Canis lupus familiaris: one gene and its partner. The protein of the gene in region 1 interacts with the protein of each later gene in a pairwise test. Links are inferred from orthologs where the notes say so. Each region holds a gene or a part of one and is shown in the gene's direction. Other genes may lie near its edges.

Region 1 (3,644 bases):
ATGAACCTGGAATTTTTATTTTGCTTTAATTCTTACATGTTTTATATTATAGTGACATCATGTTCATAGAAACTAGAGCCAATTATAAAGCCCAACACTGATTGTTTTTTCTTGATTATTAGAGTACCAACATTCAATATTTTGTAAAAAAGAATTTTGTAGAACTGTTTAGAAAAAATAGTGTCAGCTTTTAGTACAAATTTAGATTTTGTTCCTTTTAGGTTATATTAATGAAAGTGGGCATCTCAACTTACCTCGATTTGAGAAATACCTTGTGAAACTATCAGACGTAAGTAACTAGATATTTTTATTTTCTTGTCCCAGGGTAGCTATAAATGGGCAGAAACCAATTATATCAGAAGAAAAAGTTTTGGTACTTTTACATCAACTGATCCTTCTGTATAATTTCACCTAAATTACTTTTATTTTTATTTGCTTTTTATTTTTGATTTTCAGCCCATAAGAGAGTAACATTCTTTGATTTCTTATGCCCTAGAAGTAGCAACTGTTAAAAGTTTGGTTTCTATTCTTCCAGACATACTTAAATTATTTTTAATGAATTTAAATATTTTTGTACAGTTTGATCGGGAACACTTCAGTGAAGTTTTTGTGGACCTAAAGTGGTTTGAAAGCAAAGTTGGTAACAAGTACCTCAATGAAGCAGCAGGTGTAGCAGCAGAAGAAGCCAGGAACTACAAGGAAAAGAAGAAGTCAAAGGTGTCCATTTTTTTAGGTGTTCTTTCATTTTTCTAGCTGTAAAGTGAAACTGATATTCCTTGTTCCTCATTTCCCTCTTGTGATTTTTGGAGTTGCCTCATTTCATTTTCATTTCTTATTTTCTTCTATTGAACATTTGAAAAAAATTTTTTTTGTTTCTTCTCTGTTAGATCCTGTTACTTAAAGCTGATTTTTAAAAATCAGCTTCTTATTTTTATCCTAGAAGAAAAGCATTGTGTTTTCATCCTATTAATAAGTGTAGAAAATCTTCTAAATATAAGAACCTAGAAAATTAATTATCTTTTGTAAAATATGTCTACTTCTAACATTTAATATTGAGATAGCAATTAGACCTGTGGTTTTTCTTCAGAAATAATTTATATAAGGCACCCCGGGTGGCTCAGTGGTTTAGTGCTGCCTTCAGCCCAGGGCATGATCCTGGAGTCCGGGATCGACTTACACGTCGGGCTCCCTGCATGGAGCCTGTTTTTCCCTCTGCCTGTGTCTCTGCTTCTCTCTCTCTCTCTCTCTCTCTCTTTCTCTGTCTCCCATAAATAAATAAAATCTTTAAAAAATAATAATTTATATATAAAGTCATTTATGAAATACAGCTATAGGCTAGTTTAAGAGTAAGTAATAGCACAATAGCTAATAAATGCTAGGTGCTCAATAAATAAATAGTAGAATCAGAATATGCTAGTACCCTACGAAATATCACTAATGAGCTCTAAAGAATGTCTTGTATGTGTTAACTTGGGAAATAGACCTTTTCTGAAATTTTCCTCAGCTTATTTGTAATTATTGGGTTCAGATAAAATTGAGGAATTTTCTATACTCTCCTTGCTATATTGGTTCTTTTTAGGTTCAAAGCTAGTAACTCTTGCTCCATGAAGGGCATTTATGCTGATTTTCATTAGAGTAGTCCTTCTAATTGATTAGTTTTTCTCAGTGAAACTAAGGAGCAGTCCGTCTACATTCTTCTTTGTTTTTTCTCTTATAGAAACAGGCTCAGCAACTTTTTAGGAATCTATACTTTACTCACAAAACTTACACATCAGTAATCCCTGGCTCCACCCGTCTTAGCCCAGTCCTTAAGCTTCACAAGTCTTCAGGCATATGTAGTTACTGTTAGAGATACTGGCAAAATGAGGGAAACTAGAGGAAGAGCCGAAGCACAGGAAGTTAGCAAAGACCCTAGTTTGGATGAACAAAGGGAAATGGGGATAAGGGAGTAGGAAGAACTAAGTCACTGTCGATAGATAGGCAATCAGAAAATAGAGGAAAGAAAAGTTGAGATCACAAGGGAGGAAAAGCAGATGGGCAGGATATAAAGAATGTGATGAGATGGGATAAATATAGAAAAGCAAATGCATTGCATGAGAGAAAAAATTTAGAAGTAGAGAATAGAAAACATGTAATGTTTGTAACCTTTGGATTCAATCATGAACAAATAGATTATATTAACACAATAGATGAGAAATACCTATTACATATTTTAGAGCAGCCTAAATGTTAAGTTCTGCATAATAAAGATTTAGAAAAGAAGTGCTACAAAACCGAAAACATTTATACAGTACTTGAGGATTATTTTTTGAATGAACTTTTACAGTGTTGTCACTTAAGGATCATTCAGTCCTTTGTAGTATTTTTTAAATATCCCAGTTCAATGTCTTACTTTGAAATGTATCTTTGCATTAATTTTATATTGATTTATAATTTTTGTAGGGCCAGGAAAATGCCATATGTTGGGCTGCTTTAGACAAAAATGGAGAAGAAGTGGTAACTTCTAAGGGTGAGTACAAACTCTATTCGTTGTGTTATTTTTTTGACAGAATAGTCATTGTATCTTTCCTTAGTAAGCACTGATTTAATAATATTAGATGGAACAGATTTCTGTGTTAGTTTATAAGCATCTGCTTTGATATGTATTTATCAAAGAGATAGGTGGAAAAACAAAATATTTGTAATTGTCAGCCACTTTCTGACCTTTTTTCCAGATAATTTAGAAGATGAGACTGAAGATGATGACCTGTTTGAAACTGAGTTTAGACAATATAAAAGAACATACTACATGACGAAGATGGGAGTTGATGTAGTATCTGAGTACGTTTTTAACCAATGCTTTAACTTTTTTATTTTTAAAGATTTTGTTTATTTATTCATGAGAGACAGAGAGAGGCAGAGACATAGGCAGAGAAGAGAAGCAGGCTCCATGAAGGGAGCCTGATGTGGGACTCAATTCTGGGACTCCAGGATCATGCCCTGAGCCGAAGACAGACGCTTAACTGCTGAGCTACCCAGGCATTCTGCTTTTACTTTAAAATAGAAAAAAATAGATTTTTTAGATTTAAATCTAAAATTAGATTTTTTTTTTTTAAGATTTTATTTATTTATTCATGAGAGACAGAGACAGAGAGAGAAGCAGAGACACAGGCAGAGGGAGAAGCAGACTCCATCCAGGGAGCCCGATGTGGGACTCGATCCTGGGACTCCAGGACCACACCCTGGGCCGAAGGCAGGCACTAAACTGCTGAGCCACCCAGGGATCCCCTAAAATTAGATTTAAATCTAATTTTAAAATCTAAAAAGTTAGATTTTTTTTTAAGATTTTATTTTTTTATTCATGAGAGACACAGAGAGAGAGAGAGAGAGAGCAGAGACACAGGCCGAGGGAGAAGAAAGCTCCATGCAGATAGCCCAATGCAGGACTCCATCTGGGGACTCCAGGACCACGCCCTGGGCCAAAGGCAGGCGCTAAATCACTGAGCGACCCAGGGATTCCCCTAAAAAATTAGATTTTATTTATCATAATGTCAGCCTTTCAACTGCTATGGTTTTGAAGAAGGTAATGTTAACAGACGTGTTAGATTCCTGTGATAAAAAGTTGGCAAGTAGAAAATGGTTATTTTTGTTTGTTTGTTTTCCAT
Region 2 (3,980 bases), on another chromosome or scaffold:
GGGCAGTGTCTCCGCCTCGGTCCCAGCGCGCGGCCGCAGCCCGCAGAAGGCAACTTTCCGCCCGGGTAGAGCCGCACCCCGTGGCAACGACTTCAGCCCCCATGTTTTTGCACTCCGGGCACCCAGCCCACCGAGAGCCCCTTTAAAAGTGAACTTTCTCCCCAGGCCTTTGTAACAGAGTGTCACGCAGGGCACCCCCTCGACCACAGCGGCCTTGCCAGTGTGGGGAGTCACCCCCGCAGACTGGCAGTTCTCTCAAGGCAAACCCCTCCAAAAGACGCCCGTGCGACCACCAGTTGGTGGGGGGGGGGGGGACCCGTTCCTTCCACCTCCAAAAGACTTTCCATCGGAGGCAAACCCTCGTCCACAATAAAAGACACACACACACACACACACACACACACACACACACACACACACCGCCCTTTCCAATCTTGAGTTTTCTCAGAGGGCGAACTTTTACTAACAGGTTCGACAACAGTAACTCGGCCTGGGTCTCCTCGTGTGTAAAATGGGCACAATGCGTCCTTGAGTGGATGGCCGTAAAGTACTTTCACGCAGCAGAGCTGGGGGGCGGGTACCGATCAGAGGGGCCATCTGCTGCGTGAGCTCGAGGGGCCCCCTTCCTGCCTCGCCAGGGATCCGGGGTCCCCCGCCCCCGCGAGTCTCGAGGGCCAGGGGGCTGGTGACCAAGGCCTCCCGACCTGGGCTGTTTGAGCGAAATCCCCCACCTGGCCTGGGTCGCCCTTCCGTGTTGCTCCTACGGGATTTCTGGCCTGTCGGTGTTTGCTTCCCCCGGTTCATCTCCCCGCTTTTTCAGTTTACGCGACCCTCCCTCTCGCTTCCCCCTCTTTTGAGTTTGTCCCTCTGGGACTGTCTCTAACTTGTCTTTTCCGTCTCCCAACTTCCCCGCCTCTCCCTGCCTCCGGGGCGCGCGCGGCTCTCCCGCCACGGCCGCGTCCCTGCGCGGTTCTCTCCCCGGCTGCGTTCCCGGCTCTCTCCTCTCCCCGCCCCCGGCCGTCGTCCCGCGCACGCCCTCTTGGCCTCGGCCCGTGTCGATTCCCCGGGGAGCCCTGCCCCCACCACGGCCCAGTTCGCTTCTCCGCGCCTCGCTCTCTCCAGCCTTGGAAACTGGGCCGACACCCCGCTGTCCCCCCTGCCCCCTGCCCCCCCTCCCCCCGGCCCGGGGCACTCCCCGCTTGCGACCGCCCGCGGGGCCGGGCTCCGGTGCGTCCTGGCCGGGGGCCGGGCGGGCCTTGCTGGGGGCGCGCGTCCGGGAAGCGCCCCTTCTGGCCCCACCCACCCGGCCCGCCCCCCCTCGCCCGCCTCTATAAAAGCCCGGGCTCGGCCGGCCGACCGCAGCCTGACTTCAGCGCTCGCCCTCCCGGCCGACTCCTCACCCCTCGGCCGCTCGCGCCGCCATGGATCGCGCCACCATGGACCTCTCCGCCATCTACAAGGTGAGCCCCGCCGGCGACCCCCGGGCCCGCCCCCCCCGCTAGGGCGACGAGCGCCAGTGCCCACAGCTCCGGCCCGGCCCGGGGCCCTGCCGCCCTTCCCACACCCGCGCGGTTCTCAGGAGGTGAAAACAGAGCCCGCGACTTTCGTGGGGCGGCCCTCGGGGGTCGGGAGGCCGGGGGACTCGTCGGAGTCCAGGGCTGTCTGGAGGCGGAAATGGCCCCACACCTGGCCTAACCCCCAGTGGTTGCTGAGGGCGCGGTTTGGCGCGGAGGCGGCGCTGGGCGCGGAGTCTCGGGGTGAGGGGGGGCCGACTCCTGACCCTCCGGCCCTCGGGCCAGCAGGAGCTCTGGGGACTCTCAAGTCCGACGGCTTCCCGACTCCGCGGCTAACTTTGCCTGCTTCCCCAGTTGTGAAACTGGAGAACCCGATGCGAGGGGTCAGCTCCCCGGGGGCCCAGAGGCTCGAAATTGGGAGGACAGTGGTGTTGTCGGACTCTGGGGTCTTGTTTTGATCCGGCCTGGAGAGCCGGGGACTCTGGTTCCCTCGGGAGACACTTCTGTCGCGGGGAGGAAAAAATTCTGAACTTCCAAATCGGGATCCCTGCCATCCGGCACCCATATTTTAATGTGGGCAGGTGGGGCTCAGGCTGGGAGCCCACGAACCGGACTGGCAAGCTCTTAGGTGCCCTGCAGCTGGGGTGGGGCGTCACCCAGCATTTTCGGTTTCTTAACCGATCCTTGTTCCCACAGAGCCTCCTGTCGCTGAGCCCTGACATGCCATCTGACCACGGAGACACGGAGTCCATCCCAGGCTGGCCCCCCTCCGGGCTCTGGAGCCCCAGCTCACCCGAGAGGAGCCGGGTTGGGATCAGTGGCCGCCTGCCTGGCCGCTCCACCAGCCTGGTGGAGAGTCCAAGCTGTGGCTGGGTGCCACCACCCCCGGGTTTCGCACCCCTGGCTCCCCGCCCAGGCCCTGAACTGTCGCCTTCACCCACCTCACCTACTGCGACTCCCACCACCTCATCTCGGTACAAGACCGAGCTGTGTCGGACCTTCTCCGAGAGTGGGCGCTGCCGCTACGGGGCTAAGTGCCAGTTTGCCCACGGGCTGGGCGAGCTGCGCCAGGCCAGCCGCCACCCCAAGTACAAGACCGAACTCTGCCACAAGTTCTACCTCCAGGGCGGCTGCCCCTACGGCTCACGCTGCCACTTCATCCACAACCCCAGCGAAGATCTGGCTGCCCCGGGCCACCCTCATGTGCTGCGCCAGAGCATCAGCTTCTCGGGCCTGCCCTCCGGCCGCCGACCGTCACCACCACCAGCAGGCCTGGCAGGCCCTTCCCTGTCCTCCTGCTCCTTCTCTCCCTCCAGCTCCCCACCACCGCCACCTGGGGACCTTCCACTTTCACCCTCTGCCTTCTCTGCTGCCCCTGGGACCCCGGTGGCCCGAAGGGACCCCACCACAGTCTGTTGCCCCTCCTGCCGAAGGGCTACCCCCAGTAGCGTCTGGGGGCCCTTGGGTGGCCTGGCTCGGAGCCCCTCTGCACAGTCCCTGGGATCTGATCCTGAAGAATATGCCAGCAGCGGCAGCAGCCTAGGGGGATCCGACTCGCCTGTCTTCGAGGCTGGGATTTTTGGGACACCCCAGCCACCTGCAGCCCCCCGGCGACTCCCCATCTTCAACCGCATCTCTGTTTCTGAGTGACAAGTGCCTGCCCAGTACAGATCAGCTGGATTCAAGGGGGCCATTTCTCTTTTGCTGTGGGTTCCACAGGGGCCCCGGGGCTGTGGGGAACTCGGGGGACTCAATCAAGTAGCCTCCCCCTACCTTCCAAAGTGCATTAACCCACTCCCCTGACCCCACGCTGGGGCAGGTCCCCAGTGTGCAAGATCTGTGTTCATGGTGTTGGGGTGGGGAGTTTTCTGGGTCTTGTAAAAAAAAAAAAAAAGTATGTAGCAGATTTGAGGAAGGCAGTGAGCCCTCTACCCACCCCTCCCTTTCCCAATGCTGTGAATAATAGGCTCCCACTGCCCCCTCCCAATTTCTCCTAGACCCTGAGGTTCCAGAGTCTGGTGGTGACTGGAGCCTCCCCCGAGGGGGAATCCTGGTGCTCGAATTTCCCTCCAAAAGCAAGTAGCCAAAGCCATTGCCAAACACCCCCACCCCCAATTCCCCCCCCCAGCCATTGGGCTCTTTATTTATGACGACTTTATTTATTCTAATGGATTTTATAGTATTTATATATATTGGGTCGTCTGCTTCCCTTGTATTTTTCTTCCTCCTTTTTGTAATATTGGAAACGATGGAATAATTATTGTTATAAGTATGCTATAATAATATATTAAGTAATATATTGTTAAAAGTTTATTTTTGTGGTTTTTGGAATTTTTAAATAAAAGGAATCTGTGTGTAAACTGCAATCCCGGAGTCCTCTGCGGTCCAGAAGCGGTCGAGAGGGGCGGGGAGTGTTTAGAAGCGGGAGAGGGTAGGGTCCGCCGGCCGCCCCTCCGCCCCCCTCCT

Evidence for each region. The genes of interacting proteins can lie anywhere in the genome.
Region 2: the proteins of XRN1 (region 1) and ZFP36 interact in a two-hybrid assay, tested with the Homo sapiens proteins (2 studies listed by BioGRID). The link is inferred for Canis lupus familiaris from reciprocal best matches to the Homo sapiens genes XRN1 and ZFP36.

What each region holds. Positions count from the first base shown.
Region 1 is NC_049244.1:38,642,685-38,646,328, reverse strand, and holds part of XRN1 (5'-3' exoribonuclease 1), read left to right. Parts: intron 1-221; coding exon 222-289; intron 290-579; coding exon 580-717; intron 718-2,442; coding exon 2,443-2,509; intron 2,510-2,714; coding exon 2,715-2,820; intron 2,821-3,644. UniProt on the Homo sapiens protein: Major 5'-3' exoribonuclease involved in mRNA decay. Required for the 5'-3'-processing of the G4 tetraplex-containing DNA and RNA substrates. The kinetic of hydrolysis is faster for G4 RNA tetraplex than for G4 DNA tetraplex and monomeric RNA tetraplex.
Region 2 is NC_049222.1:114,602,934-114,606,913, reverse strand, and holds ZFP36 (mRNA decay activator protein ZFP36), read left to right. Parts: upstream 1-1,323; 5' UTR 1,324-1,421; coding exon 1,422-1,460; intron 1,461-2,210; coding exon 2,211-3,164; 3' UTR 3,165-3,461; downstream 3,462-3,980. UniProt on the Homo sapiens protein: Zinc-finger RNA-binding protein that destabilizes several cytoplasmic AU-rich element (ARE)-containing mRNA transcripts by promoting their poly(A) tail removal or deadenylation, and hence provide a mechanism for attenuating protein synthesis.